Linked DNA regions of Saccharomyces cerevisiae S288C. Changing the gene in region 2 together with the main gene of any one other region gives a genetic interaction. Each region holds a gene or a part of one and is shown on either strand. Other genes may lie near its edges.

The links.
Region 1: mutations in PET8 (region 2) and VID28 together harm fitness more than expected from each alone (negative genetic interaction), as found in Saccharomyces cerevisiae (2 studies listed by BioGRID).
Region 3: mutations in PET8 (region 2) and GCN2 together harm fitness more than expected from each alone (negative genetic interaction), as found in Saccharomyces cerevisiae (3 studies listed by BioGRID).
Region 4: mutations in PET8 (region 2) and CRD1 together harm fitness more than expected from each alone (negative genetic interaction), as found in Saccharomyces cerevisiae (4 studies listed by BioGRID).

The regions. Positions count from the first base shown.
Region 1 is NC_001141.2:315,552-324,194, forward strand, and holds VID28 (glucose-induced degradation complex subunit VID28), read right to left. Parts: upstream 5,415-8,643; coding exon 2,649-5,414; downstream 1-2,648. Other genes in the region: FAF1 (Faf1p), read left to right, coding at 1-582; 60S ribosomal protein uL2 RPL2B, read left to right, coding at 1,217-1,220, 1,621-2,381; SNL1 (Snl1p), read left to right, coding at 5,903-6,382; aspartyl protease BAR1, read left to right, coding at 6,791-8,554. UniProt on the Saccharomyces cerevisiae protein: Component of the GID E3 ligase complex recruiting N termini and catalyzing ubiquitination of proteins targeted for degradation.
Region 2 is NC_001146.8:620,907-627,811, forward strand, and holds PET8 (Pet8p), read right to left. Parts: upstream 4,924-6,905; coding exon 4,069-4,923; downstream 1-4,068. Other genes in the region: TOR complex subunit LST8, read left to right, coding at 1-72; mitochondrial 54S ribosomal protein bL27m MRP7, read right to left, coding at 407-1,522; HRB1 (mRNA-binding protein), read left to right, coding at 2,009-2,038, 2,381-3,715; RLP7 (Rlp7p), read right to left, coding at 5,268-6,236; ribosome dissociation factor DOM34, read left to right, coding at 6,550-6,905.
Region 3 is NC_001136.10:1,022,781-1,033,759, reverse strand, and holds GCN2 (serine/threonine-protein kinase GCN2), read left to right. Parts: upstream 1-3,710; coding exon 3,711-8,690; downstream 8,691-10,979. Other genes in the region: ZIP1 (Zip1p), read right to left, coding at 1-1,324; DPP1 (bifunctional diacylglycerol diphosphate phosphatase/phosphatidate phosphatase), read left to right, coding at 2,341-3,210; MRX10 (Mrx10p), read left to right, coding at 9,005-10,249. UniProt on the Saccharomyces cerevisiae protein: Metabolic-stress sensing protein kinase that phosphorylates the alpha subunit of eukaryotic translation initiation factor 2 (eIF-2-alpha/SUI2) on 'Ser-52' in response to low amino acid, carbon, or purine availability.
Region 4 is NC_001136.10:200,071-204,220, forward strand, and holds CRD1 (cardiolipin synthase), read right to left. Parts: upstream 2,501-4,150; coding exon 1,649-2,500; downstream 1-1,648. Other genes in the region: chaperonin-containing T-complex subunit CCT4, read left to right, coding at 1-1,512; biotin--[acetyl-CoA-carboxylase] ligase BPL1, read left to right, coding at 2,969-4,150. UniProt on the Saccharomyces cerevisiae protein: Catalyzes the synthesis of cardiolipin (CL) (diphosphatidylglycerol) by specifically transferring a phosphatidyl group from CDP-diacylglycerol to phosphatidylglycerol (PG).

The DNA.
Region 1 (8,643 bases), on a different chromosome or scaffold from region 2:
GAGTTGCAGCAATTTCTGAGAGAGTCTCACTTATTGAGCGCTTTCAATAACGGTGGAAGTGGTTCTACAAACAGTGGTGTATCGTTGACTCTACAGAGTATGGGTGGTGGAAATGATGATGGCATAGTATACCAGGATGATCAAGTTATTGGGAAGGCCAGATCGCGTACACTCGAAATGAGACTGAATAGACTCTCAAGGGTGAATGGTCATCAGGACAAAATAAATAAGCTGGAAAAAGTACCCATGCATATTAGAAGAGGAATGATCGACAAGCACGTCAAGAGAATCAAAAAATACGAACAAGAAGCTGCAGAAGGTGGAATTGTTCTATCCAAAGTGAAAAAGGGACAATTCAGAAAAATTGAATCTACATACAAGAAAGATATCGAGAGGCGTATCGGGGGAAGCATTAAGGCCAGGGATAAAGAAAAAGCTACCAAAAGGGAACGTGGTTTGAAGATCAGTAGTGTAGGCAGATCGACGAGGAATGGACTGATTGTATCCAAAAGAGATATTGCTCGTATCAGTGGAGGCGAGAGGAGTGGTAAATTTAATGGCAAAAAGAAATCCCGTCGCTAGATCAATTGTGATTCCATGAACTCACAAACAACTCGCCTAAGAAACTGTCTAAATTTTTATGCACTAAATAGACCACAAATGAGAACGTAAAGAGAAGCTTTTATCATTTTATTTCTCTTCTCCTTAGGAGGAAATACAAATATCTTTTCTACATTTAATTCAATCTGACAGTCAAAGTTATACATATACATTATACCGATTACCAAGTTTTCAGACTAGAACCCATACATTATTTTACAAACCCAGACAGTACACTATACAAAAACCCAAGCAATTGCAATCAATTTTTTTGCACGAAAATTTTATTCGAAATCGCCAACCCGCTAGGGAGAAAAAGAAGGAATTCTCAAAGGAGAGGCTGGACAGAGAGGTCGTCCCAGTCTACCGCCTACGAGTAATGTTGGATACTAAGCAGTTCCCAGCCTGAACGCTCTGCTGGATGGGTGGAGATTTCCCTCCAGGCGGGAACACTCCTGGTGGATTCTGCTCTGGAAACTATGCTGTGCATGCTACAGGTTTCAATAATCTTTCATACTTGACAAAAGTAGATATACATATTTTAAAAGATTGAGTTACTATTGATAAATCTACTATTTGTCATAAACTCACCAAGAAACCACAAAGTTATTGAACAATGGGTATGTTTTTATTATATCGCATAATTATGGCAAATGTTATGAAGGATTCCTCTATGACTTAGATGTTTTGAATCGGTACATTTTATTTTCAGTATCCTTCTGCATATTACAAGGCAACATAGCAGCGGACAAGAAAGCTTTTTTGATGTTCGTCTTCGAAACGATTACTATCAGGGTCTTTTAAATGCTATATCGGGACTTATTGAAATTGACATATTACACTTATGAATGACGTTGGCTATCAAAGTATGAGAATAAGCCTTTCCTACTATTTTGTATCATGACAACAGGGTTCTGTCGCTTTGAATGCGGCCTTTTACTTTGCCATATTTTGATAATGAAAAAACTTTCGAGAAATATTTACTAACAGGATCGAGAATTTTTTTCCTCATTTAAACAGGTAGAGTTATTCGTAACCAAAGAAAGGGTGCTGGTTCTATCTTCACCTCTCACACCAGATTAAGACAAGGTGCTGCCAAGTTGAGAACTTTGGACTATGCTGAACGTCATGGTTACATCCGTGGTATCGTTAAGCAAATTGTCCACGACTCCGGTAGAGGTGCTCCATTGGCCAAGGTTGTTTTCCGTGACCCATACAAGTACAGATTACGTGAAGAAATCTTCATTGCTAACGAAGGTGTTCACACTGGTCAATTCATTTACGCTGGTAAAAAGGCTTCTTTGAACGTCGGTAACGTCTTGCCATTGGGTTCTGTCCCAGAAGGTACCATTGTCTCCAACGTTGAAGAAAAGCCAGGTGACAGAGGTGCCCTAGCCAGAGCTTCTGGTAACTACGTTATCATCATTGGTCACAACCCAGATGAAAACAAAACCAGAGTCAGATTACCATCCGGTGCCAAGAAGGTTATCTCTTCTGACGCCAGAGGTGTCATCGGTGTCATTGCCGGTGGTGGTAGAGTTGACAAACCATTGTTGAAGGCTGGTCGTGCTTTCCACAAGTACAGATTGAAGAGAAACTCTTGGCCAAAGACCCGTGGTGTTGCCATGAATCCAGTTGATCACCCTCACGGTGGTGGTAACCATCAACATATTGGTAAGGCTTCTACTATCTCTAGAGGTGCCGTTTCTGGTCAAAAGGCTGGTTTGATTGCTGCCAGAAGAACCGGTTTACTACGTGGTTCTCAAAAGACCCAAGATTAATCTTTTTAATTTTGGTTTCTTCCTTCTGTCATATTATTTTATCAATTTTCTTAAATATTATATAATTTAATCCGAAACGTTCCTTATAAAGTGATATTTCTATGCATACTTTTTTTTCTTTGACATGAGAATAAATTCAGCCAGCTACTTCCTATCACAGAAATTTTAGTTAAACGTAAGCTTGCAGTTATGGATTCTTCTGCGAAAATACTATTTAAAAAACTATAGCATAAATTAATTGTAGGAAATACTACGAGTTCTGTGCATTCATTTAACTTTCAAAAGCAGGTCCATGTGATATAGTAACGTTCTGGCCTTTTCCCTGACAGATAATGATTCGTCTGTAATATTTTTTCTAACCAGATCGTATAATCCTACCTCCACGAGTTTTCTACATCTTTCCACCGTGGCACGTGTTACTTGTACATTTGATGTACTACCTTTTGCAGCCGGGGTGCGAACGAACTCATCGCCTTCATCATCACCCTCATCATTATCGTCATCTTCATCATCATTCGCATTGCTACTGCTATCATCGCCATCTGGCTCATCGTAGTATTTCCCCCTAGAATATCCACCAGCCACTGATTCATTATACCCGATTGTCACCGTAGATTGAGGGTTTTCTGAATCACTTGGTGAATGCCCTGGTTCCAGACCATTTTCAATTGCATATTGGGTATAATGTGAAACTGATGAATTCCAAAGTAAGTTATTGAGTACCCAGAGGCATGCCAATTTCAGATTGCTGTCATTACCATTACTTGAACTATCAGTCGTTGTTTCTACCAATATTTCACTCATAATGTTCAATATTTCGTCTTGTTCGATGACTAGCTGCTTTTTATTCTCATTGACTGCCGCTAGATTCACGATAATATATAGGATGCCTTCCATTGCTTTCTTTTGTTGAGTGTCTAATGGATTTAAAAGCCTCATCTTCTTTGCAAGAAATTCGAAAAGATACGTTGAGCCGATGCTAATTTTATTACCTGTTTGAGGATCGATCTTGTATTCTACATCTTTAAATTTTTCCAAAAGAATATTTACAATTTTCCTTGAATTACAAGTCAAATTTCTGAGCAACTGAAAACATTGGGCTTGTACTGCCCAACATGGATCATTAATAAAATCCAAAATTAAATTCATCGGGATTTTGGCCAAAAGCTGAAACTTCTCTTCATTCTGGCAATTGTACATTAGATGCCTTAGTACCCATAAAGAGTTTGCCTTCACTTCATGCACAGGTATGCCTTGCAATGCAATCCTTCTTTCATCTTCATTATCGTCCCAGGCTTTTTTTGAGTTAAACAATGGATCTGTTAACATCTTTTCAATTATATCGATTATACCGTTTCTCAGCATAAATGACTGTAAATTAGAGAACTCCACCACGAAGTTACAAATACTACCCAGAGTAATGCCCATAATCATAATTTCCGGTTTCATAAAATCTTGTCCAGCAAAATAGCATTCCTTGGTCAACGTATATGTTTTACTTAGTATCTGTAAAAGCAGCTGTGCAATTTTATTTCTCTTCAACGTCGTCCTAAGCGCTGAAACACTTCTCGAGAATGATTTCAACAATAGTAACCAAGCTGCCACGAAATCGTGATCATATATTGGGGGTAAACACATAGAATGACTTTCCGTAGTTGTTTCCTTTATCTCATCTTTCAAAGATATAAAATCCTGTATCAAAGTAATGTGGGATTCCAACCCGTATTCTAAATGATTCAACAACAATGTGTCATTCAACAGTAAAAGACGGTATTTTTCGTCCGATGCTGCAAATGACGCACATATTTTAATGAATTTTGTAGTTGTTTTCAAAGTAGCTTCATTGTGTTGTGGTAGAGAAAGACACTGCGCAAAACGGGATAGAATGCAAAATATAACGTTTGTATGAGCTAGCGTGGTGAGCACAGGATTATTCATTGGAGTAATTTCATTATACAACACAATCAATGAATCCAGCATATCGAATGGATCAAACCACCAAGGCAACGGGTCATAATTAAATGACTTAACTAAATAGGGTAGTATTTTCTCGAGTGTACGCGTATCTTCCCATTTCTTATCCTCTGTAAAGTACGGTTGTAACAAAAACTTCAGGGCCACGCACCTAATGTTAACGTCATTACTCTTCAAAAGACCCAGAACGAACATCTTGAACGTCGCATCATTCCGCAGTTTCCTATCACCCGGTATCATATAATGATATCTTAGATATAGAAGGAGTGCCAATGAGAGTAAACTAGAATCATACATGTTTGAGATATTGATTTTTTTAGGTATGGCACGGGTGCAGTCGACCCCTTTATTGTCAAACGGATCGTTCTTGACGCTGGATGGTGACGCTGGCCTGGATACTTTTAGCCTCACTATATACTTGAGGCTTATTTGGTCCAAGTACTTCGATGATATTTTAACTATTATGTGTTCAAGGGATTCTGCCATTTTAAAATCTTGGTAGTGTGAAGTTTCTGTCACTTCTCTCTCTTCCTCCATAAACTTGCTCTTGTTGAAGTCGCTGCAATTTTTCTCGTCCACAAGTAAAAACAACTTCAATAATTCAATAATCGTGACCACCTCATCAATTTTACATTTGCTCCTCAAAAATTTATGGTTGACTAACTGGATGAACCCGTTCTGGAGGTATTGCAAGTCTGGGAATCCGCAATTTGGATAAACTCCTGCACACAAATTTAGAAGCTTTATGTACTTATAGTTTGTCGAAGAATTATTTTTAGTAAAACTGCTTGCCAAACTCATGGACTTATAGATTGCGGACACAATATCAAAGTAATATGTGCCTACTATATCCCTTTGTTGCGGTTCTAGATGTAAAAGGGTATATAGCAGATCTAATTTCGCATTTTTTAACTCTACACCGTCACTTTGCTCAATGGACAACAAACATTGAAAAATCTGGCACTTTGGAGCCAAAAAGTAATCTACCTTAGCCAACTGGTCTCCCACCAGGGAATTACTAATCTTTTTGAGATTCTCTAGGGAATAAGCCACCGTCATAGTGTAACTGTAATATATCACCAATCTAACACGAGGGCAATGATACAGGAAAACTGCAAGTTTCCGCCATGAAGATCATCCTCTTAGGCCGCAGTTTGTAGTGATATCCCTATAAAACGTATTATAATCTAATTAGTTTAGTTCGCGCCCCTTCAGTCTAATCACTTATAACGGATGACGAATATAAGGTCAAAAGCTTCATACACAAGCAAAACCATTTATGCTACCTGCAATTCAATCGGCAAGCATGCTTTTTCAAGAGCGCATATGGACTTGAAGGAGAGCCATAGCTAGAGGGGTTTTTAAATGGAAGACTTGTGCTCATCTAATTCAATTTGCCTTTACTATCATTTGGTCGATATTGAAAAAAAATATCGCGAACTGACATAACCAGTAGAAAAAAAGATGGAATCAGCTCTGTAGTGCTGGTTTCAATCCTGTTTGTTGGTGAAAAAATAGCACCAGAAGGGCAATTGTACGTTTCCGTAATGTCGCACAACGCAATGGAACATTGGAAGAGCAAGCTGAGCAAAACAAGTACCTCGACGTACGTCCTCTTGGCCGTGATTGCTGTTGTATTTTTGGTTACAATCAGAAGACCCAATGGCAGCAAGGGAAAAAGCAGTAAAAAGAGGGCTTCTAAAAAGAACAAGAAAGGTAAGAATCAGTTTGAAAAAGCGCCGGTTCCTCTGACTCTAGAAGAACAAATTGACAATGTGTCGTTGAGATACGGCAACGAGTTGGAAGGTCGTAGCAAGGATCTAATAAACAGATTTGATGTGGAAGATGAAAAGGACATCTACGAGCGTAACTATTGCAACGAAATGCTTTTGAAGTTGCTGATTGAGTTAGACAGTATCGATTTGATTAACGTGGATGAGTCCTTAAGAAGGCCGTTGAAGGAAAAAAGGAAAGGCGTCATAAAGGAAATTCAGGCTATGTTAAAAAGTTTGGACTCTCTTAAATAAGTTTGTATTTTTAGTTTATAGATAACGGCTCTTGCCGAATTCATAGGCTGCACTCATTCCGGTACGGTACACATTTGTTGCATTTATTATATTAGAGATGCGTTGTCCCTGTTTTTCTACCTCCGACATCATGCTGAAACATGGCATGTAATTACCGTAAAAGGAAATTACATGGCGAGTGTCACATAATAGCGACAATAACATGTATACACAGCCAGCTATTCTGAAACACACCACATTATAGTTATTGAATGTGTGTGTTTTTTGATAACAGTATAAAAGTGAAGAGAAAGCACGTCGAGCCTTGTCATGATGAATTCTTTAATGATCTTCGCGTGATTTAATTCTAGTGGTTCGTATCGCCTAAAATCATACCAAAATAAAAAGAGTGTCTAGAAGGGTCATATAATGTCTGCAATTAATCATCTTTGTTTGAAACTTATTTTGGCGAGTTTCGCGATTATTAACACCATTACTGCTTTAACAAACGATGGCACTGGTCACTTAGAATTCCTTTTACAACACGAAGAGGAGATGTATTACGCAACAACCTTAGATATAGGTACACCGTCCCAAAGTCTGACAGTGTTGTTTGATACCGGATCTGCCGATTTTTGGGTTATGGATTCTAGCAATCCCTTCTGCTTACCAAATTCAAATACGTCATCCTATTCAAACGCAACTTATAATGGCGAAGAAGTTAAGCCTTCAATTGATTGCAGGTCTATGAGTACTTATAATGAGCATAGATCTTCCACCTACCAATATCTGGAAAATGGTAGGTTTTACATCACATATGCTGACGGAACATTTGCTGACGGTAGTTGGGGGACGGAAACTGTATCAATTAATGGAATTGACATCCCCAATATCCAGTTCGGAGTTGCCAAGTATGCTACGACACCCGTTAGTGGTGTTCTTGGAATTGGGTTTCCTAGAAGAGAGTCCGTTAAGGGCTATGAAGGTGCTCCTAATGAATATTATCCTAATTTTCCTCAGATTTTAAAAAGTGAAAAAATAATCGATGTGGTCGCGTATTCGCTGTTCTTAAACTCACCTGATTCAGGTACTGGTTCGATTGTTTTTGGTGCCATTGATGAATCAAAGTTTTCTGGTGATTTGTTCACTTTCCCTATGGTAAATGAATATCCCACAATAGTCGACGCTCCTGCAACTTTAGCAATGACTATACAAGGATTAGGTGCCCAAAACAAAAGTAGTTGTGAACATGAAACGTTTACGACGACCAAGTATCCAGTTTTGTTGGACTCAGGAACCTCGCTATTGAATGCGCCCAAGGTCATAGCAGATAAAATGGCTTCTTTTGTAAATGCGTCCTATAGTGAAGAGGAAGGTATATATATATTAGACTGTCCAGTATCTGTAGGTGACGTGGAATACAATTTTGATTTCGGCGATTTGCAAATAAGTGTTCCACTGTCTAGTTTGATTTTAAGTCCCGAGACAGAAGGCAGCTATTGTGGGTTTGCGGTCCAGCCAACAAACGATTCGATGGTTCTGGGTGATGTGTTCCTGTCCTCTGCATACGTCGTATTCGATCTCGATAATTATAAGATATCTTTAGCACAGGCAAATTGGAACGCAAGCGAAGTTTCGAAAAAGCTAGTAAATATTCAAACAGATGGGTCTATTTCAGGTGCCAAAATTGCTACAGCTGAACCCTGGTCCACCAATGAACCATTTACAGTCACCTCTGACATTTATTCATCTACAGGCTGCAAGAGTAGGCCTTTTCTTCAATCATCGACAGCCTCTTCGCTTATTGCAGAAACCAACGTACAAAGTCGCAACTGCTCTACGAAGATGCCAGGCACTAGATCAACTACTGTCTTAAGTAAGCCTACTCAAAATAGTGCTATGCATCAAAGTACAGGCGCTGTCACACAAACCTCAAATGAAACTAAATTAGAATTATCCTCGACTATGGCAAATTCGGGCAGTGTCTCGCTTCCCACTTCGAATTCAATAGACAAAGAGTTCGAACATTCGAAATCTCAAACTACCAGCGATCCAAGTGTAGCAGAGCATTCTACGTTTAACCAAACGTTTGTACATGAAACTAAATATCGGCCTACTCATAAGACAGTCATAACAGAAACTGTCACGAAGTATTCTACAGTCTTAATAAATGTCTGTAAACCAACATATTAAGAAATCTGGAGTACAATTTCTTTATAGCATATAAATATCAAATATATAGTCATTTTTAATACATGGAAAGCATAATAAAAAAACAAGGG
Region 2 (6,905 bases):
ACTAGAGAAATTGTCAGACAGTACGGTGGACACCACAAGGGAGCTGTATGTGTCGCATTAAACGATGTATAGTTTACAATTTATCAACTACCAAGCTTGAAGGACCGAAGTGACAAAAAACATTATGATTTTCAGTGTTTGCTTATCCGCCTTTTTGTAAATATAGATTTTACTATCCTGTGCATTTTAGTTAATTGATTGTTCACAAAATGAAAGCAATCGCGATGCATATCATCAATGAAAGGAAGACGAGAATGTACAGTATAAACATATTCCCTTGCATGTAGCACTAAATTTTAAGTTTCGTGTAGACGAAAGGTTTAGCTACTTGCGCGACAAAATAGTAATATTTACAGGCATTCTTAAACATTTTATATGTGTACATACTGTGCGTAAGGAAAGAAAATCAAAGCTTGCTCAAAAAAGCCCGCCTACTTCTAGCAATGACTTCAACTTTATTTTTGGTGTAATCAAAACGTCTAGACACAATTGACTTCTTCCCGCTTTTGGTTTCAACCGTACTATCTGTTTCGGGGAAGACCGACTTTAAGTATTTCCTACGCAAATGTACTTCTTCAGATAAAGTCAAAAAATTACAAGCGTCCTTGAAAAGCGCCTTAATATAATTCTTGTCTTTTTTGGTTTCTAAGTGTTGGGATTTTTCTAGGTCCTCTAATAGTTTTGCCTTCAAAGCTTGTTTTTCTTGTTCCGAAATATACTGGTGTAGCTCTAGCTTGTTATTGAAAGATGTAGATGAGTTCAAAAGATCACTACACTCATCAATCTTGGATAGACTCTCCGACAATTTCTCATTCGTCCAGCTTTCTCTCCTTGCCTTCAAACGCTCTTCTTCTTTTAAATAATATCTACTATTGAACCTTGCATCTTCTATGGGGTATCCATTCTTCAGGGAAGCCCTTACACGAATTAAGTATGACGTTGCCAATTCGATGTCTTTTATATCTAACTTAAGTTCATCCCGAAGAACCTTACTCAACTTGTCTTGTAACTCCTTTCTTTTAGATTCCCTGACCTCTAACTGCTTCAAAATATTAGGTTTTGCGAGATAGTCTTTTCTAGAAATAGAATTTTCTTCCTTATATGCTGCCCTTTTATTTGTTAACTCAAAACGGCCAAACCTCCTTACGGTAGGCTCAAAATGAGGAGATGGCAGTTTCAAATCACGCCTCAAGGCAACACCAATGAATTTTCTTTTAGGATGAAAAGGATCAAGATAGTAACGAACAACACCAGGTTCTAAGGCGAATATGGAATGATCTTTCCCTATACCAACGTTTTCTCCAGGATAAAACTTTGTTCCTCTTTGCCTCATAATAATTTCACCTGTGGAAACATCCTGGCCTTCATATTTTTTTGGTCCTAACCTTCTTCCTGCAGAATCCTTCATACTTGTTCTCGAGCCCGCAGCCCTTTTGGTGGCATTACGCACTTGAAGGAACACACCAGACACATGTTTTTGGAATGAAAAACTAGAAGTATCTAGTAAAATAGGATTCCACATATTCTCACCTTAGGTTAAGCTTGAAATATTATGACCACCCAAACTGGCGAGTTTTATTTTTACAATGAGCCAACTTCATTCTTCAGTGAACTATCTTGAATGAGTCTCCAAAGAAAGAGCTTTAAAATTCAATAGCGGAACGTCAGATATCGAAACACCCAGTCATAACAGCCAAATTTGCATAATTGGTATAAAAACAGTGTGTATAACATTACAGAGAAGCCGTTGTGTGAAAATCTTTTTAGTACCTATTCAACCAAACAATTGAACTTGAACACCAAACTCTAGCCATCCTTATCCTCTTCTGGTCACTACATATACCTCAATTTACGTCTTTCCTTGGGTCGTTTCAAATGACTCTCTTTGTTTAGCGAGGGAAATGAAAAAGTAGAGTACTGGCTGAAAAATTTCATAATTATGTTTGCTCATGAGTTCGAAAACAGTTTGAATGAGCAGATAGAACGCCAAATATTAAGTTAACAGGATATGTCTGATCAAGAACGAGGTTCAGAAAACGTATGTTTCATTGATAAGGGAGGTGAAGAAAAGTTTGTAAAATGAGACTTTATGAGGTCATTGGAATTAAATAGACATCAACGAATGGTGAGTCACCATTTAATGCTGCCTTCAAAACGCTTGCTTCAATGTGATTCCACTGGTTAAAGGGGGTTTTTTGAATGCATTGCTAATGTTTATCTACTGGCTATGAAAGTGAGAATATCAATTATAAATAAAACCCTGATTTTCTACCTGCCATGCTATAATGTACAGTTTATTCCAACTTTGAAACGCAATGACTTATTGGTCTCTCTCATTATGAAATTTAGTTACTTTTACTAATGTTATTCATTGTTGTAGAATAATCGAAGTAGATCGAGGTCGAGATCACCTGTTCGTCGTCGGATGAGTGATGATCATGGTTATGAAAGAGACAACCATTTGTCCCGGAGGTCAGGTAATTATAACGGTAGGCGTAAGTTCGCAGATACGTACAGAGGAAGCAGAGATAGAGGAGAATATAGAGGAGGTAGAGAAAGGTCTGATTACAGAGAAAGAGAAAGGTTCAATAACAGAGATAATCCTAGATCTAGAGACCGTTACGATGATAGGCGCAGAGGAAGAGATGTGACTGGTCGTTATGGGAACAGACGTGATGACTATCCTAGAAGCTTTAGGAGTAGACACAATACACGTGATGACAGTAGGAGAGGCGGTTTTGGTAGTAGTGGAGCAAGAGGTGATTACGGTCCTTTGTTGGCACGTGAATTGGATAGTACATACGAAGAAAAGGTCAATAGAAACTATTCCAATAGTATATTCGTGGGTAATTTAACATATGACAGCACCCCCGAAGATCTCACTGAGTTTTTTTCACAGATAGGAAAAGTAGTCCGCGCGGATATAATTACATCAAGAGGGCACCACAGAGGTATGGGTACAGTAGAGTTCACTAATTCGGATGATGTTGACAGGGCCATCCGCCAGTACGATGGGGCCTTCTTCATGGATCGTAAAATCTTCGTCAGGCAAGATAATCCACCACCGTCAAACAATATCAAGGAAAGGAAAGCACTCGATAGAGGAGAGCTTAGACATAACCGAAAAACACATGAAGTTATTGTAAAAAATTTACCTGCTTCCGTTAATTGGCAGGCTTTGAAAGACATATTCAAGGAATGTGGGAATGTCGCACACGCTGATGTGGAATTGGATGGCGATGGAGTATCCACTGGATCTGGTACGGTGTCCTTTTATGATATTAAAGATCTGCATAGAGCGATTGAGAAATACAACGGTTATAGTATAGAGGGTAACGTCTTGGATGTCAAGTCTAAGGAAAGCGTACATAACCACAGTGATGGAGACGATGTTGATATCCCAATGGATGATTCTCCCGTTAACGAAGAAGCTCGAAAATTTACCGAAAACGTTGTCGGTGGAGGTGAAAGAAATAGACTCATATATTGCAGTAATTTGCCATTTTCAACTGCAAAAAGTGATCTTTACGACCTTTTCGAGACAATCGGAAAGGTTAACAATGCTGAATTAAGGTATGATTCCAAAGGGGCACCAACTGGAATAGCTGTCGTTGAATACGATAACGTCGATGATGCAGATGTTTGTATTGAAAGATTGAATAATTATAACTATGGGGGTTGTGATTTGGATATATCGTACGCTAAACGCCTCTAGAACTACTCTCGATCTATATACTTTCTCACCTATTGGATCTGCGACAAGTATTTATTCATTCTTGACTTATTTCCAGGCTTTTTAACTTTATAATGTCATTGTGTATACGTATAATCTGAAAAAATTTCGAAGACTTTGAAGAAGACTGTGAAAAGAGTCTGATTTTTCCAATACAGTGAAAATGGGTTTAACAAATATCCAAAAAAGTACTTTGAACAGATATCGTAAATAGACGACTTTTTTATATGAATAACAAAAAATAAACAACAGACAAGAGGCCTCAGAAGGCTTACGTAAAGTACGTAAACGATCTACCTCTTACAACTGGTAGTTGCTTTTGCTCTATGTTTTCATTACGCTCTCATTTCTCCAGCCGTTGGGAAACTTTTCGATAATAACGAATGAACAGTTTCATACATGCCTAGGAAGATAGCACCACCTGCACTGATCCACATTGTCCGGGGCCCCACTCCACTGAAAAATACAGCAGGACCTTCCTCTCTGTAAATCCTAATAATAACGCTTCCAAGTGAGGCGGTTGTTTTGTTGAGCATTAATCTGGTTTTCAAGAAATCTAATGGTGTCGTTGTAGCTGCTGCGATCCCACCCGCAATAGAACCGCAGATAGCCCCTTTCCATGGCTCCACTTGACTTTGGCCATTGGCTTTTGCCCAAGTCTTTTTTAGATACTCGTATAAAGGAAACTGTATACAAGTAAACGGTATTTCTCTCATAATGGTGGTAGACCACCCTCTATAAAGATTTTTCCTTAAACCTTCCTTATTGTCATTTCGTAGAATTGACTGTAAAGTCTGCCAGGAAGAATTGGTAGAGTGAACTTGCGTCCTTTGCTTAACGACTTCTGCGGGAACTCGAACAAGACAAGCACAAATTTCACCAATGGAAGAGGAAAGCATGTGCGTTGTCGTATCAATCAATTGCTCAGATCCCTGTGAGTAAAGTTTGCTGATATATGGCCTTGATTTTACTTTCATATAATCATAACTAATAAAGAAAAGTGAAGCACCTGGCGCCGATGCTACAACAGCGCTTCCCAAACCACGATATATGCCTTTGTATCCTCCATTAGCAAAGAATCCACCCTTAGCTTGAAGCCTGGTTTTAATTGTGTCTATAGGGAAAAAAACCAAATCCGTAGAGGTACCAGCAGCGGCGCCACTTAGCAAGGAAAGAAAAAAAGTATTCATAGCAAACTTTTCAAAGCGAATTTTAGTTCATCGGTGTGTCTAAACATATAAAATCGCCAAACAATTTACAACAAGTGGAGCTTTAATGATCTCATATATTCTCGAGGGTGCACCCCACTGCAAATGTATTTATATACAAAACAGCGCTCAGTAAGCGAGGAAAAAAAGAGGCGCCCGTGCTTTTGCCGATACATAAACTAAAAACCAATAAACTTGCCAAAATACGTATATTCTTCAATCCATGAGGCACCACTAATTATATGCAAAAGCTCAATATCTGCTCCTTCAATGGCATTAGATAACTAACAACCTATGTACTATACAATTTTAAAATACTCTCTTAATTAATTCAACTTGGCTAATAAAGAGTCAATGTCAACTTCGATAACTGGTGCTGTAGCTGCATTTGAAAATTGACGAGTTCTTGATTCAGCCTCCCGCTGTTTTATTTTCCTTAGCCTATTCAAAGAACCAAATCCAGATACTTCTCTATTCAACTTGAATGGTTGTAAGAAGAAGTTACAAACAGAAAAAGACTCACCCATAGTGGCAATCTCATGAATAATATCTTCAACACAAATTATTCCATGATCTCCTAATTGCTCCTCGACAATATTGTTGTCATTAAGAACTATTTCGTGAGGTTCAGCCTCATTCTCACCCTTATAGATTATTCTACCTCTCTTTTGAATCAAGGAACGGATAGAAGATAAAGAAGGCTTGCCAATCACTACGTATGGCGCAATAACCTTGAGCAACGGATATACGTTTTTGGTCAATTTGACGAAAACACCAGTATTAGTTTCAACTAATCTTAGCAAAGACAAAATCTTAAATGCTTTGTTTGGAATATTTACAGCAAGCGGACCTCTTACTCTGACAATGAAAAGTAAAGCAGGTTTGCCATCGTAAGTAGTCTTTTCTCTGATTAAACCATCGTCTTCTTCTTCTTCAGTCTCCTCCAAGTCGACAGAGTTCTCTTCGGCGCCATTAGCTTTTTCTGTTATTTTCAGAATAAAATCTTTCCCAGATGCAATATGCTGCGTTTCATTCTTTGCCTTCTTATCTTCTAATATAGACACTCTTTTAATTCTTTCCTTTTCCCTAGAGGTAGCCAAAGTCTTTGCAACTATACTTTCAGCTCTGACAAATTTGTTCTTATTACTTCTCTTTTTTTTGATTTGTTCTTCCCTCTTTTTCTTAGCTAATTCTTGTCTTTCGATTCTAGTTCTATCAGCATTTCTTCTTTTCCTCAAAAGAATTTCTGGATTAGAATTAAGAGTTTGCGCTTTACTGTCTTGAGTTGAAGACATTGTGACTTGTATATCTTATTCTTTTTCCCTGTGGCAGCCTCTTCTTTCTAGGAACTTAATAACGAAAGTACCAAACAACTTAGACTTTTCTCATCTCATCGCTTCCCAGCTTTTTTTAAGCAGAGCTGAAAAAAATTTTCTTTTTACCAAAAATCCGTACTGCGTGATGAAAGTGTACATACATTATTCAATATTCACCTAGTTTTGTATATTAATGTAAAATGTAATTTAATGAAGATCCCAAAAAATTAAGCATTCGTTGCTGCATCGTTGTCATTTTGTTCAATTATCGCATTCCTATCATAGCAAAAATATGAAGGTTATTAGTCTGAAAAAGGATTCTTTTAACAAAGGAGGAGCAGTGATTACTCTTTTACCGGAGGACAAGGAAGATCTGTTTACTGTTTATCAAATAGTAGACAAAGATGACGAGTTGATATTCAAGAAAAAATTCACCTCTAAACTTGATGAAGCTGGTAAGAAAAAAAGTACAGATTTGGTCAAGTTGAAGATTAAAGTAATATCCGAGGATTTTGATATGAAGGATGAATATTTGAAATATAAAGGTGTTACTGTTACAGATGAAAGTGGAGCTAGTAATGTTGACATACCTGTCGGCAAATATTTGAGCTTTACCCTTGACTACGTGTATCCCTTTACTATCATAAA
Region 3 (10,979 bases), on a different chromosome or scaffold from region 2:
CTCCCATTATAAGTCCTTTTTGCGTTACACTCAGCTCATTTATTGTTTTTGCCATTTCATCCTTACTGGATGACATTTTTTGTTCAAGATTTTCTTTGATATCTTCATATTGCTGCTTTAGCATGGTCTCTGTATTACTACTCAACTCTACAGTGGTGTTCCTCAAGCCTACGTTAAGGGTATCTTTTGCCACATCGAAGTGCTTTTGTAATTTTTTTTCAAACAAATCATGAACTCTTTCTTCGAATTTGTTAAATTGCAGTAAATGGTGTGCTTTATCTTCTGAAAAGAAATTCTCAATTGATTTAATCATTTCTTCTCTATTTTTTCCCATTTCCTGTATTAAGGAACTGTTTTTGATTTTTTCTTCGCTCAACTGACCTGAACAATCATCTAGTTCTCTTTTCAGGTATTCAATCTCTTTACCTTTTTTCATTAATTCTGCATCCGCCTCCTTTTTGTTCTTCCCTAAATCATTTATTGTTTTGTTCAAGTTTTCAATACTTGTCTTAAATCCGCTTATCCTTCTCTGATATAGTTGGTGGTTTTGTCTTAAATCTTTCAATTTAGTTTCTTGATTATTCTTATGGCTCGTCAACGTTGCAATCCTTTCTTGAAGAGTTTCTAAACAAGATTTATATTTTCCGACTTTTTCATTGATCTTATCAGAATTGGAAGCATACGACTGTAGTCGAACTTTCAACTTTGCATTATCCTGTTGCTGCTTTTGTAGCTCTTGCTTTAAATTTGAACATATTCTTTGAGTGTTTGTGAAGGCTTCTAACAGGACATCATTTGAAGATGTACTAGAATTATTGATGGACGTGTGCAAAGGAGCCTTTCCATTTGTCATAGTATATTCATGCATTTTACTATCCTTGAGAGTTGTCTCAGAATCGTTAGGATCCCCATGACTTTCTTTCGTTTCTTTTGCTACTCCTTCACTCACTTCTCTTACTTCTGTAATTTCAAAATCTTCATCAGTATCATTTTCAATTGCGGCAACATCATTTTTTAAAATTCTGTTGTATTGGTCTGTTGATGTTGTTTTTTTTGGTGAACCTATTTCCATATCATCAGAATAACCATGGTTTCTCTGACTAAGGCTCATACTTGTAATCAGTTCTTGTTCGGTAGAAGTTTTGTGGGGTTTTTTGAAGGTATCATCTCCCTCTATAGAAGAACCCACGTCTAAACAGTTGGATGAATTCTCGACAACAGTATTAGCGGAAGAATCTGAATCTACATCTCTGACTCTCAGCTTAGCGAAGATGTTTGGTCGAGGCTTGAATCCCATTGAACTATCTCTAAAAAAGTTTGACATTCTCTAAAAATTTAGCCGCCGAGGGTATTTTACTTCCGAATCTCAAAGAAAAAAATATGCTTACTGTTAATCCTAAAAGAGGTGACAATATTCAGCTAAAACTTTCAGAGACTTGCAGTTCTCTTCAAGGCGGTCAACTTTAACAAAGAGGTAGCAGATTGTTTTCTTTATTTGTTCGCTATTTACAAGTGAAGAAGCAGCTCTTCATAAAGGGACAACACGGCTTATAGCATTTTTTACGAAAAGTTTGACCGTTTAGAACAAATATTTAAAAACTAGTACTCGATTTCTGGCGCAGCAAAAATATAGCATTATGTCCGATAAACACAGTTGTGATCTGTCTTGTGATCGCATACTCTGCAGATAATCAGTTGAAATAGCAGCTTTTAAGTGAGAATCTTATTCTTAGTCTACATCGTTACATTGTATCAGTCACAGGTACGGAGAGAAATTATACTTTTCGATTTCATTCAATGTAGTTTCTTTTTTACATTAAATATAGTTTTCCAGTAGTGCACTATTATTAAGGCGCTTCTGTTTTTAGTCAACACTTTTTCAGATAGTACCTTTCAGGTGGTTAGAGTGCGATCCCTTTAAAAAAAAGTATTCGTCAACGATGACAGGGTAAAGAATAAATGCAGCACGCCTGGCGTATACTGCTATAATTGTACATCATGTTATCGGCGTTGATTCTCAATTGTTTGGTGATTAGCTTTTATATATAGATAGAAACCCAACGTTGGATAACCTCACGACTAACTTTTTTGTATTTTAGAAATAATTTGTCGATCGGTTGTATATTTTTGTCATATATTATCTAGAAACGTTAGGGAATAAACTGTTATCTAGGGTCCACTAACATACGCGCAGTTCGGAAATCAGCAAACATCACTTAAAGGACACCTGCTATAAACTGAATTGTGTCCAATTTTTCGAGTAGTTAGCAGTTCAATAAAGGGCACGTTATCAATTGTTAAAGGCAAAGAATCAGAATTAAATCATAGCAAACGACCAAAATGAACAGAGTTTCGTTTATTAAAACGCCTTTCAACATAGGGGCGAAATGGAGATTAGAAGATGTCTTTTTGCTCATTATCATGATACTTCTTAACTACCCAGTGTATTACCAACAACCGTTCGAACGTCAGTTTTACATTAACGATCTCACTATATCGCATCCTTATGCGACAACTGAACGTGTAAATAACAACATGTTGTTTGTTTATAGTTTTGTCGTGCCATCTTTAACCATATTGATAATTGGTTCCATTTTGGCCGATAGAAGACATTTGATTTTTATTTTGTACACATCTCTCCTTGGTTTATCACTCGCTTGGTTCAGTACGAGTTTCTTTACAAACTTCATCAAGAATTGGATTGGAAGACTAAGACCAGATTTTCTAGATCGTTGCCAACCTGTTGAAGGCTTGCCATTGGACACTTTATTTACTGCAAAAGATGTGTGTACGACTAAGAATCACGAACGTCTGTTGGATGGGTTTAGGACAACTCCGTCAGGTCATTCAAGTGAAAGCTTTGCAGGACTGGGTTATTTGTACTTCTGGCTATGTGGGCAACTTTTGACTGAATCACCGTTGATGCCTTTATGGAGAAAAATGGTGGCCTTTCTACCACTGTTAGGAGCTGCACTAATTGCTCTATCCAGAACTCAAGATTACAGACATCATTTCGTCGATGTAATTTTAGGGTCTATGTTGGGTTATATAATGGCACACTTTTTCTACAGAAGAATCTTCCCACCCATTGATGATCCTCTTCCGTTCAAACCATTGATGGACGATTCAGATGTCACCCTGGAGGAAGCAGTCACCCATCAGAGGATCCCGGATGAGGAATTACATCCTTTGTCCGATGAAGGTATGTAAGAATAAAAAAGAATATATACTCCACATGACATACGAAATATACGTATTTATTGTTCTGTATGGAATAACAGCGATTACATAAAGATGACATGTTACTTCTTTATTCAAATTAATCTTGACGTGCAAGGGCCTGCTTGTTATTTCATCGGACAATCCCAACATCACTTTACACGAAAGCCTTAGAAGTTTATTATTTGTTTTAAGTTGGACTATAGTGATGTAGGTAGTTTCTTAGGAAGCAGTTGAGTAGCTGATTTTTGAGATAAGAACCTGGTGTAATCAATCTATAAACAGCCTAGAATCTTTTTAAGCAAATTTACTTTTACATTTATCTCTATCTTCTTTCTTACAAGAAGTTATTTTCATTACAAAAGGACATTAAATACACTAAATTTTCAATCTTTACATTGTTGGAAAGCCTCGTTGTCTTTTAAGATTTTATAAGCATTGATTTTTTTTTTCAATAATTTTCCGTTCCCCTTAACACATACTATGTATAAATGTCATTGAGTCATCTCACTTTAGATCAATATTATGAAATACAGTGCAACGAACTTGAAGCGATACGTTCCATTTATATGGATGACTTTACTGACTTAACTAAAAGAAAGTCTAGCTGGGATAAGCAGCCACAGATTATATTCGAAATTACGCTTCGATCTGTTGACAAAGAGCCGGTTGAATCTTCTATAACATTACATTTTGCGATGACCCCAATGTATCCTTATACCGCTCCAGAAATAGAATTCAAAAATGTACAAAATGTAATGGATAGTCAATTGCAAATGCTGAAAAGTGAATTTAAGAAAATCCACAACACCTCCCGAGGCCAAGAGATTATATTTGAAATTACATCTTTTACTCAAGAAAAACTGGACGAATTTCAAAATGTGGTAAATACACAGTCCTTGGAAGATGATCGATTACAAAGAATCAAAGAAACTAAAGAACAATTAGAAAAGGAAGAAAGAGAAAAACAACAGGAAACAATAAAAAAAAGATCAGATGAGCAGCGAAGGATAGATGAAATTGTTCAAAGAGAGTTGGAGAAAAGACAAGATGATGATGATGATTTGCTATTCAACAGAACAACCCAGTTAGATTTACAACCACCTTCAGAATGGGTTGCATCAGGTGAAGCTATTGTCTTTTCAAAAACTATAAAGGCAAAATTGCCTAATAACTCAATGTTCAAGTTTAAAGCAGTTGTAAATCCTAAGCCAATAAAACTGACATCAGATATATTTAGTTTTTCCAAACAATTTCTTGTGAAGCCTTATATACCACCAGAATCTCCGTTGGCAGATTTTTTAATGTCTTCTGAAATGATGGAAAATTTCTACTATTTGCTATCTGAAATTGAATTGGATAATAGCTATTTCAACACAAGTAATGGAAAAAAAGAAATAGCAAATTTAGAGAAAGAGTTAGAGACGGTGTTGAAAGCTAAGCATGACAATGTGAATCGATTGTTCGGTTATACGGTGGAGCGCATGGGGAGAAATAATGCAACGTTTGTTTGGAAAATAAGACTCTTGACAGAGTACTGTAACTACTATCCATTGGGAGATTTGATACAATCTGTTGGATTTGTTAACTTAGCAACAGCGCGTATTTGGATGATTAGATTGCTTGAAGGATTGGAGGCCATACACAAATTGGGAATTGTTCATAAATGTATCAACTTAGAAACCGTGATCCTGGTGAAGGATGCAGATTTTGGAAGCACTATTCCCAAGTTAGTTCACTCCACTTATGGCTACACTGTTTTGAATATGCTATCGAGATATCCAAATAAAAATGGTTCTTCGGTTGAGTTATCTCCAAGTACATGGATAGCCCCTGAGTTGTTGAAATTCAATAACGCCAAACCTCAAAGATTAACTGATATTTGGCAACTTGGTGTTTTGTTTATCCAGATAATCAGTGGATCTGATATAGTGATGAATTTTGAAACGCCTCAAGAATTCCTAGATTCAACAAGTATGGATGAAACTTTATATGATCTTCTTTCGAAAATGCTTAATAACGATCCGAAGAAAAGATTAGGAACATTAGAACTACTGCCCATGAAATTCTTAAGGACCAATATTGACTCTACAATCAATCGATTTAACTTAGTTTCCGAAAGTGTCAATTCTAATTCCTTGGAGTTAACTCCTGGAGATACCATAACCGTTCGGGGCAATGGAGGTAGAACACTTTCACAATCGAGTATACGAAGAAGATCATTTAATGTTGGTTCCAGATTCTCTTCTATAAATCCTGCAACGCGATCACGATATGCTTCTGACTTTGAAGAGATTGCAGTTTTAGGCCAGGGCGCATTTGGACAAGTTGTCAAGGCACGTAATGCTCTCGATAGCAGATACTATGCGATCAAGAAGATTAGACATACAGAAGAAAAGTTATCTACTATATTGAGTGAAGTAATGCTGTTAGCAAGCTTAAATCATCAATATGTTGTGCGTTACTATGCTGCATGGTTAGAAGAAGACAGTATGGATGAAAACGTTTTTGAATCAACTGATGAAGAAAGTGACTTGAGCGAATCTTCCTCTGATTTTGAGGAAAATGATTTATTAGATCAAAGCAGTATTTTTAAAAATAGAACAAATCACGATTTGGATAATAGTAACTGGGATTTCATATCGGGGTCAGGATATCCGGATATTGTCTTTGAAAATAGTTCTCGTGATGATGAAAATGAAGATCTAGACCATGATACTTCCTCGACTTCCTCGAGCGAAAGTCAAGATGATACTGATAAAGAATCAAAGAGTATCCAGAACGTTCCAAGAAGGAGGAATTTTGTAAAACCGATGACTGCTGTTAAGAAGAAAAGTACGCTTTTTATTCAAATGGAGTACTGTGAAAATAGAACGCTATATGATTTGATCCATTCTGAAAATTTAAATCAACAACGTGATGAATATTGGAGGTTATTTCGACAAATTTTGGAAGCACTGAGTTATATACATTCCCAGGGTATCATTCATAGGGATCTGAAGCCAATGAATATTTTTATAGATGAATCGAGAAATGTTAAAATCGGTGATTTTGGGTTAGCTAAGAACGTCCATAGATCTCTGGATATACTTAAGCTAGATTCACAGAATTTGCCAGGCAGCTCAGATAATTTAACATCCGCCATTGGTACAGCAATGTATGTTGCTACTGAAGTTTTAGATGGTACAGGTCACTATAATGAAAAGATTGATATGTATTCACTTGGAATCATTTTTTTTGAAATGATCTATCCTTTCAGTACAGGTATGGAGAGAGTTAATATTTTGAAAAAGTTACGATCAGTGTCGATAGAATTTCCTCCTGATTTCGACGATAATAAGATGAAAGTTGAAAAGAAAATTATAAGGTTACTCATAGACCATGATCCCAATAAAAGGCCTGGTGCTAGGACATTATTAAATAGTGGTTGGCTTCCTGTGAAGCATCAGGATGAAGTAATCAAAGAGGCTTTAAAAAGTTTGTCGAATCCTTCATCCCCTTGGCAACAGCAAGTTCGAGAAAGTTTATTTAACCAATCTTACAGTCTAACAAATGATATTCTATTTGATAACTCAGTTCCAACATCCACTCCTTTCGCAAACATTCTCAGGTCCCAAATGACAGAAGAGGTAGTTAAAATTTTCAGGAAACATGGAGGAATTGAAAATAATGCTCCTCCGAGGATTTTTCCAAAGGCCCCCATATACGGTACGCAGAATGTATATGAAGTGCTTGACAAGGGCGGTACCGTCTTGCAGTTACAATATGATTTAACTTATCCTATGGCTAGGTATCTATCTAAAAATCCAAGTCTGATTTCTAAGCAATATAGGATGCAGCACGTTTACCGACCTCCTGATCATTCAAGGTCAAGTTTGGAACCTAGAAAGTTTGGTGAGATTGACTTCGACATAATTTCAAAATCTTCCTCAGAGTCAGGATTTTATGATGCAGAAAGCTTGAAAATTATCGATGAAATATTAACCGTATTTCCTGTATTTGAGAAAACAAACACTTTTTTCATATTAAATCATGCTGATATTTTGGAGAGTGTTTTCAACTTTACAAATATTGATAAAGCCCAAAGGCCTCTAGTTTCACGAATGTTGTCGCAAGTAGGCTTTGCAAGGTCCTTCAAGGAAGTAAAGAATGAACTAAAGGCGCAACTGAACATATCTTCTACGGCATTGAATGATTTGGAGTTATTTGATTTTAGACTGGACTTCGAAGCAGCCAAAAAACGCCTGTATAAATTGATGATTGATAGTCCGCATCTAAAAAAAATTGAGGACTCTTTGTCCCATATATCAAAGGTTCTCAGTTACCTAAAACCCTTAGAAGTTGCAAGAAATGTTGTGATATCTCCTTTGAGTAACTACAATAGCGCTTTTTACAAAGGAGGTATCATGTTTCATGCAGTTTATGACGATGGATCCTCACGTAATATGATAGCTGCTGGAGGGAGGTATGACACTTTGATATCCTTTTTTGCCAGACCATCAGGAAAAAAGAGCAGCAATACTCGTAAGGCTGTAGGTTTCAACTTAGCGTGGGAAACAATATTCGGTATAGCCCAAAACTATTTCAAACTCGCTTCTGGAAATAGGATAAAGAAGAGAAATAGGTTTTTGAAAGATACAGCTGTTGATTGGAAGCCAAGCAGGTGTGATGTATTGATATCGAGTTTTTCGAACTCTTTGTTGGACACAATCGGGGTTACAATACTGAATACATTGTGGAAGCAAAACATTAAAGCGGATATGTTAAGGGATTGTTCCTCGGTGGATGATGTCGTTACTGGCGCTCAACAGGATGGTATAGACTGGATTTTGCTGATTAAGCAACAAGCGTATCCACTAACCAATCACAAGAGAAAGTACAAGCCATTAAAAATAAAAAAATTGAGCACTAATGTTGACATAGATTTAGATCTTGATGAGTTTTTAACCTTGTACCAACAAGAAACTGGTAATAAATCTTTGATCAACGATAGTCTCACTTTGGGCGATAAGGCTGATGAATTTAAAAGATGGGATGAAAACAGCAGTGCCGGTAGTAGTCAAGAAGGTGACATAGATGATGTTGTTGCTGGTTCGACTAATAATCAAAAGGTAATTTATGTTCCAAACATGGCTACAAGATCTAAGAAAGCTAATAAAAGGGAAAAGTGGGTTTATGAGGATGCAGCCAGAAATTCTTCGAATATGATATTACACAATTTATCCAATGCACCAATTATCACTGTTGATGCCTTAAGAGATGAAACTTTAGAAATAATCTCAATTACTTCTTTGGCTCAGAAGGAAGAATGGCTGAGAAAAGTTTTTGGGTCAGGTAATAACTCGACTCCTAGAAGCTTTGCCACGAGCATTTATAATAACCTCTCCAAAGAGGCTCATAAAGGGAATAGGTGGGCAATATTATACTGCCACAAAACCGGAAAATCATCTGTTATCGATTTACAGAGGTAGGCCTTTAAAGATCTGTGCGGCGCTATAACGCATCAGTTAAAGGTAAAGTATATACAATGTCTTAGATACTATATTTAGGCTAGCTGATTCATCTAATTCACCGTTGTAAAGGGGGTAGGTCACCTTTCTTATACATATTCCTGATACTAAAGACAAATGTAGGTTTAATGAGATGGTCTACTTCTTCTCTCCTTTCTCTACTTTCCATTTTGTATTTAATTTTTCGGTGAATATAAATGTGTGCGTATGTTGTGTGAGGCTCCTCTAGCTCCTACGGGAGACATTTAATAAATGATCATAATATGGCGTGAAGAATGCTTTCATTCAGAAGTTTGACTAGCACATTCGGTTTCGTATCACGATTCCAAATTAGACGGTTAGGAACTAGTTTATCAATACAGAATTTAGAAGTGCAAGATGGCCGTTGGAAAGGTAAACTAGCTACAGAGAAGAAGACCAATAGGGAACACAAGTCAGTGGATACGAATATCAAGACAATGAAGATGCTTAAAAACCCGAAGAATTCTACTCGCTATTTGAGACGAAGTTTTGTGCCAAACCACAGAAAGCAGGAGAATGGACGTGATATTCTGGAGGATTCTTTAAGTAAAGATCACTTAAAAGTGAAGAGTTGTATCACCATTACCACCGGAGAGGGTTATGATCTCAAAAGATGCATGAAATTGCTTACTATGCAAGGATTACAACCGACAAATTTGATACCTGATGAAATCGTGTCATTTAGTTATCAGGATAATGGCAATAAAGGTGACGTAATGATTTTAGGTCAAAATGGATCTATTGTAAGCTGGGGCTTCAGTGAATCTAGTGTTCGAAACTGCATAGTGCCTATAGTTAAAGCAGCGAGTTTAAATCCACTGAACGGAGAAGACTTTGAGACTGAGGACATGGATTATGTGGAAATAGAAGGGGAACAAGATTTTGATAAGCTTTCCAGTTTGGATAATAAGGTAACACCGAGAATTGCATGCGAAAGCTTTCTTTCTGGAGATTTGATAATAATTAACTCCTTGGATTCTGATCAAGGAATGCTAGATAAGGCGGCATTCTCAAGTGGGCTATCGAGAAGCACCAACTTGGCAGTCCTAGAAGAAGCAATGGAAAAACATATATCAAAGACCAGAACAATAACAGAAAATATTTCTAAGGGAACAAAGTTAAATCTAAGGTCAAGTGATGCATTAAAGTCAATAGGCCGCCTTTTTCTAATTAGAGGAAAGTTGAACCTCTATTCAGAACTAATTGAGACCCCTGATCTTTATTGGAGTGAACCTCAATTGGAAGAGATTTTTAAAAATGTTTCGAGGTATTTGGACATAGGCCCAAGAATAAATATTCTGAACAGCAAGCTGGACTATTCTACGGACGAGTGTCGAGCCCTCATCTCTCTTTTAAACGAGAGAAACAGCACTTTTTTGGAATGGATAATTATATACCTGATTGCTTTCGAACTGTGCTTTGAAATTTATCATTTCTACCAGAAATATTCTTCCTACTGCTCAGAACCCACGAATGATGATCTAGATGCTACAAAGTAAGAGATTTTTTTGTAAATAAGAGTTACTTTTGTATGTTGTATTACGGGCTCGAGTAATACCGGAGTGTCTTGACAATCCTGATATAAACAGTCTTAGGGAAGTAACCAGTTGTCAAAACGGTTTATCAGATTAATTCACGGAATGTTACTTATCTTATGTATTATATAAAATATGAATCATACTAAGTGGTGGAAGCGCGGAATCTCGGATCTAAACTGATTGTTCAAGCATTTATACGTTTGGGTAGTTCAGCTAGGGAAGGCCGTGTTTTATCTCATGTTGTTCGTTTTGTTATAAGGTTGTTTCATATGTGTTTTATGAACGTTTAGGATGACGTATTGTCATACTGACATATCTCATTTTGAGATACAACATTGTATATACACAGAACAATGAGAAAAAGTTCCACTCAGTAATTAATATTCTTTTACCCAACGTTTCCTTATAACGTTGTTATTGAAAAAGGGATATTATATGAATCCACGCACCTGATCTGGCTCTTAGAAGCGACTAAATAACTACATATGTAAGAGATCTGCTCCTGCCACAAGAGAAAGCGTTTTTTAGCGATAAAATCAAGATTTCTCATTTCCTAATTGCTTATGACGGACGACCTTCATTATTAGAACGTGCAAATGTGCATTAGCGTGTAATGATACATACGCAAATTACAATAAAAAATAAACATGTAAATAAATGAGCCCACTTAAAATAATATGACATATATTAG
Region 4 (4,150 bases), on a different chromosome or scaffold from region 2:
ATCGCTGCACGTTCTGTTGCAGATGCCATCCGTACTTCATTGGGTCCCAAGGGTATGGACAAGATGATTAAGACATCTCGTGGAGAAATCATCATCTCTAATGATGGCCACACCATTCTAAAACAGATGGCCATTCTGCATCCGGTGGCCAGAATGCTAGTAGAGGTTTCTGCCGCGCAGGACTCGGAAGCCGGTGATGGTACCACTTCTGTGGTGATCTTGACCGGAGCTCTATTGGGTGCTGCTGAGAGGCTGTTAAACAAGGGCATCCATCCAACCATCATTGCGGACTCCTTTCAAAGTGCTGCGAAGAGATCTGTCGATATTCTTTTAGAAATGTGCCATAAGGTTTCGTTGAGCGATAGAGAACAGCTGGTTCGTGCTGCATCCACTTCTTTGAGTTCCAAGATTGTGTCTCAATACTCTTCGTTTTTGGCGCCCTTGGCAGTGGACTCCGTATTGAAGATATCTGATGAAAACTCTAAGAATGTTGACCTGAACGATATCAGACTGGTCAAAAAAGTTGGTGGTACCATTGATGACACAGAAATGATAGATGGTGTGGTCTTGACACAAACGGCAATCAAATCTGCTGGTGGTCCGACAAGAAAGGAAAAAGCAAAGATTGGGTTAATTCAATTCCAAATATCTCCTCCAAAGCCCGACACAGAAAATAATATCATCGTTAATGACTATAGACAAATGGATAAGATCCTTAAAGAAGAAAGAGCGTATTTGCTAAATATCTGTAAAAAAATTAAAAAGGCCAAGTGTAACGTGCTGTTGATTCAGAAATCCATCTTGAGAGATGCGGTAAATGATTTGGCTCTTCATTTCTTGTCAAAATTGAACATAATGGTGGTAAAGGATATCGAGAGAGAAGAAATCGAGTTTCTGTCGAAGGGCTTGGGTTGTAAGCCAATTGCTGATATAGAATTGTTCACCGAAGATAGATTGGGTTCCGCTGATTTAGTTGAGGAGATCGATAGCGATGGTTCCAAGATAGTTAGAGTAACTGGTATAAGAAACAATAATGCAAGACCAACCGTCTCTGTTGTTATTCGTGGTGCAAACAACATGATCATTGATGAAACAGAGCGTTCCCTCCATGATGCACTATGTGTTATTCGTTGTCTAGTGAAAGAGAGAGGTTTAATCGCTGGTGGTGGTGCTCCAGAAATTGAAATATCCCGTAGGTTGAGTAAGGAAGCAAGGTCTATGGAAGGTGTACAGGCTTTTATTTGGCAAGAATTTGCCTCTGCTTTGGAAGTTATTCCAACGACTTTGGCTGAAAACGCAGGTTTGAATAGTATCAAAGTTGTCACAGAATTGCGCTCTAAGCATGAAAATGGTGAATTGAATGACGGTATCTCTGTTAGACGATCTGGTACTACGAACACCTATGAAGAACACATCTTACAACCCGTACTTGTTAGTACAAGTGCAATTACCTTAGCGTCTGAATGTGTTAAATCCATCTTACGTATTGATGATATTGCATTCAGCCGTTAACATGGGTTTCCCAGTATCCATATGTTTATGCATATATACATATATATGTTGATTTAGTGTATTTTCCACTACATAAAAACTAAAAAACATTCAAAATGAAAAGTCAGGACCCTTTTCAAAAAGGATCGCAATTATACTATTTTAAAAGTTTAAAAGCGTTTCTCTTTAATGCGTAGGATACTCCGCTCATTATTGTGGTCGTGGCGGTTACATACCCTAAATAGCTAAAGGCCTTTTGAAAGTCCTGTTTTCTATCTTCGAAATCCTCCTCGGTTTTTTCACAGCCCTCTTCTTTCTCATATAAAAGTAATAATACTCCAGATCCAAGATATACCATTTGGAAAAACGTGTTCCATTTTGATAGTTGGGAAGGTCTGACCTCAGCGCTGGGATAGCGAACAATATCCCAATAGGAATTCCATGCCACACGACCAGGATATTTCAACTTTAAAGTGCTATATCGTATAAACAAAGCACTTATGGCTAGTAGCACATCTCTACCCAGAATTATCGCCGCAATAGATACCGGTATAATCTGAGGGCCGGATGGTACAGATAATGCCAAAGTTGTTGTGATCATGAGTAGTTTATCTGCAAGTGGATCTAATATGGTTCCTGCAATGGTTTTCAGGCCGTATTTTCTTGCTATATACCCATCCATAAAATCAGTGATGCTGGAAAATGCAAACAAACCTAATGCTGGGGTCAAATTATTCGTTATAATGAAGAGTCCGATAAAGGGTGTACATCCTATTCGTGATAAAGTCAAAATGTTGGGAATATTGAGCAACTTGCTCTTTATATGAGGAGTTTTACTCGGATTGGTAGCATATTCCCTCCTAGTGAGATCTCTGAAAAGATTGTAATTTAATTGCGGGTTTACCTTAAAGCGTACAGTTAACCCTGATAACACATGATAGAATGGCCTTTTCGGTATAGTTCTCCGAAGTAATGCGGAGCATGAATAAATGGGCACCATTTGAATCATTGACTAAATTATTAGGGACCAAACTATGCTACCAGGCCTGCTTGTTTCTCAATTGCCTCCTTTCTATATTTTTTCAATTGTAAATATTGTATACTCCCGATTAAGAGGATGGCTTCATGAATCGAGCTTTTTCACACTCCAGTTTCGGAAATAGTCGCCGCACAATGATTCGAAGACATGACTGTGAAGTGTTGGTTGACATTTAATATGGTTTCATGTAAGAGATCCCAGAGCTACGGACTTGGCTTTTTCTTCCTGTAATTGTTTGCCAAACGTTGGGTAAACGCACATATAAGTATATTTTACTTTCCTTCTCCCTTCGTCAGTTTTTCTTTTGCTGTAATATATTGTTCTCAAAAGTTGTTTGGTATACAAAAGTGCAAGGTTTTTACTGGTTGTTACAGGTTCAGAGTTCCAATAAAGAAGATATTAGAACGATCTTATCAATATTATCCAATTTCAACTAATATGAATGTATTAGTCTATAATGGCCCAGGGACTACGCCAGGATCAGTTAAGCATGCTGTTGAAAGTTTACGTGACTTTTTGGAACCCTATTACGCCGTCAGTACTGTCAATGTTAAGGTATTACAGACAGAACCATGGATGTCAAAGACCTCCGCTGTAGTTTTTCCTGGTGGTGCCGATCTTCCTTACGTTCAAGCTTGTCAACCCATTATTTCTCGATTGAAACATTTTGTTAGCAAACAAGGTGGTGTCTTTATCGGATTTTGTGCAGGAGGTTACTTTGGCACCAGCCGTGTAGAATTTGCTCAAGGTGACCCTACAATGGAAGTATCAGGAAGCAGGGATTTGCGATTCTTTCCGGGAACAAGCAGAGGACCTGCGTACAATGGATTTCAGTATAACAGCGAGGCCGGTGCACGTGCAGTTAAATTGAATCTTCCAGATGGCTCACAGTTCTCAACTTATTTCAATGGAGGAGCCGTTTTTGTTGATGCAGATAAATTTGATAATGTCGAGATCTTGGCCACGTACGCAGAACACCCGGATGTGCCTTCTTCTGACTCAGGAAAAGGTCAAAGTGAAAACCCAGCTGCTGTAGTGCTATGTACGGTCGGAAGAGGAAAGGTTTTACTCACTGGACCACACCCTGAATTCAACGTCCGTTTTATGAGGAAATCCACAGATAAGCATTTTCTTGAAACCGTTGTGGAAAACCTGAAAGCACAGGAAATCATGAGGTTGAAATTTATGAGAACGGTTCTTACCAAAACTGGGTTGAATTGTAATAATGACTTCAATTATGTAAGAGCTCCAAATTTGACACCACTGTTTATGGCTAGTGCACCTAATAAGCGGAATTACTTGCAAGAAATGGAAAACAACTTAGCTCATCATGGAATGCATGCAAATAATGTTGAACTCTGCTCAGAATTAAACGCCGAAACTGACTCTTTCCAATTTTATAGAGGCTATAGAGCCTCTTACGATGCAGCAAGTTCGTCCTTGCTTCATAAAGAGCCAGATGAGGTTCCTAAGACCGTAATATTTCCTGGCGTAGATGAAGATATTCCACCATTTCAATATACGCCCAATTTTGACATGAAAGAATACTTCAAGTATCTGAATGTTCAAAACACCATAGGTTCTTTACTTCTATATGGTGAAGTTGTTACATCAACGAGT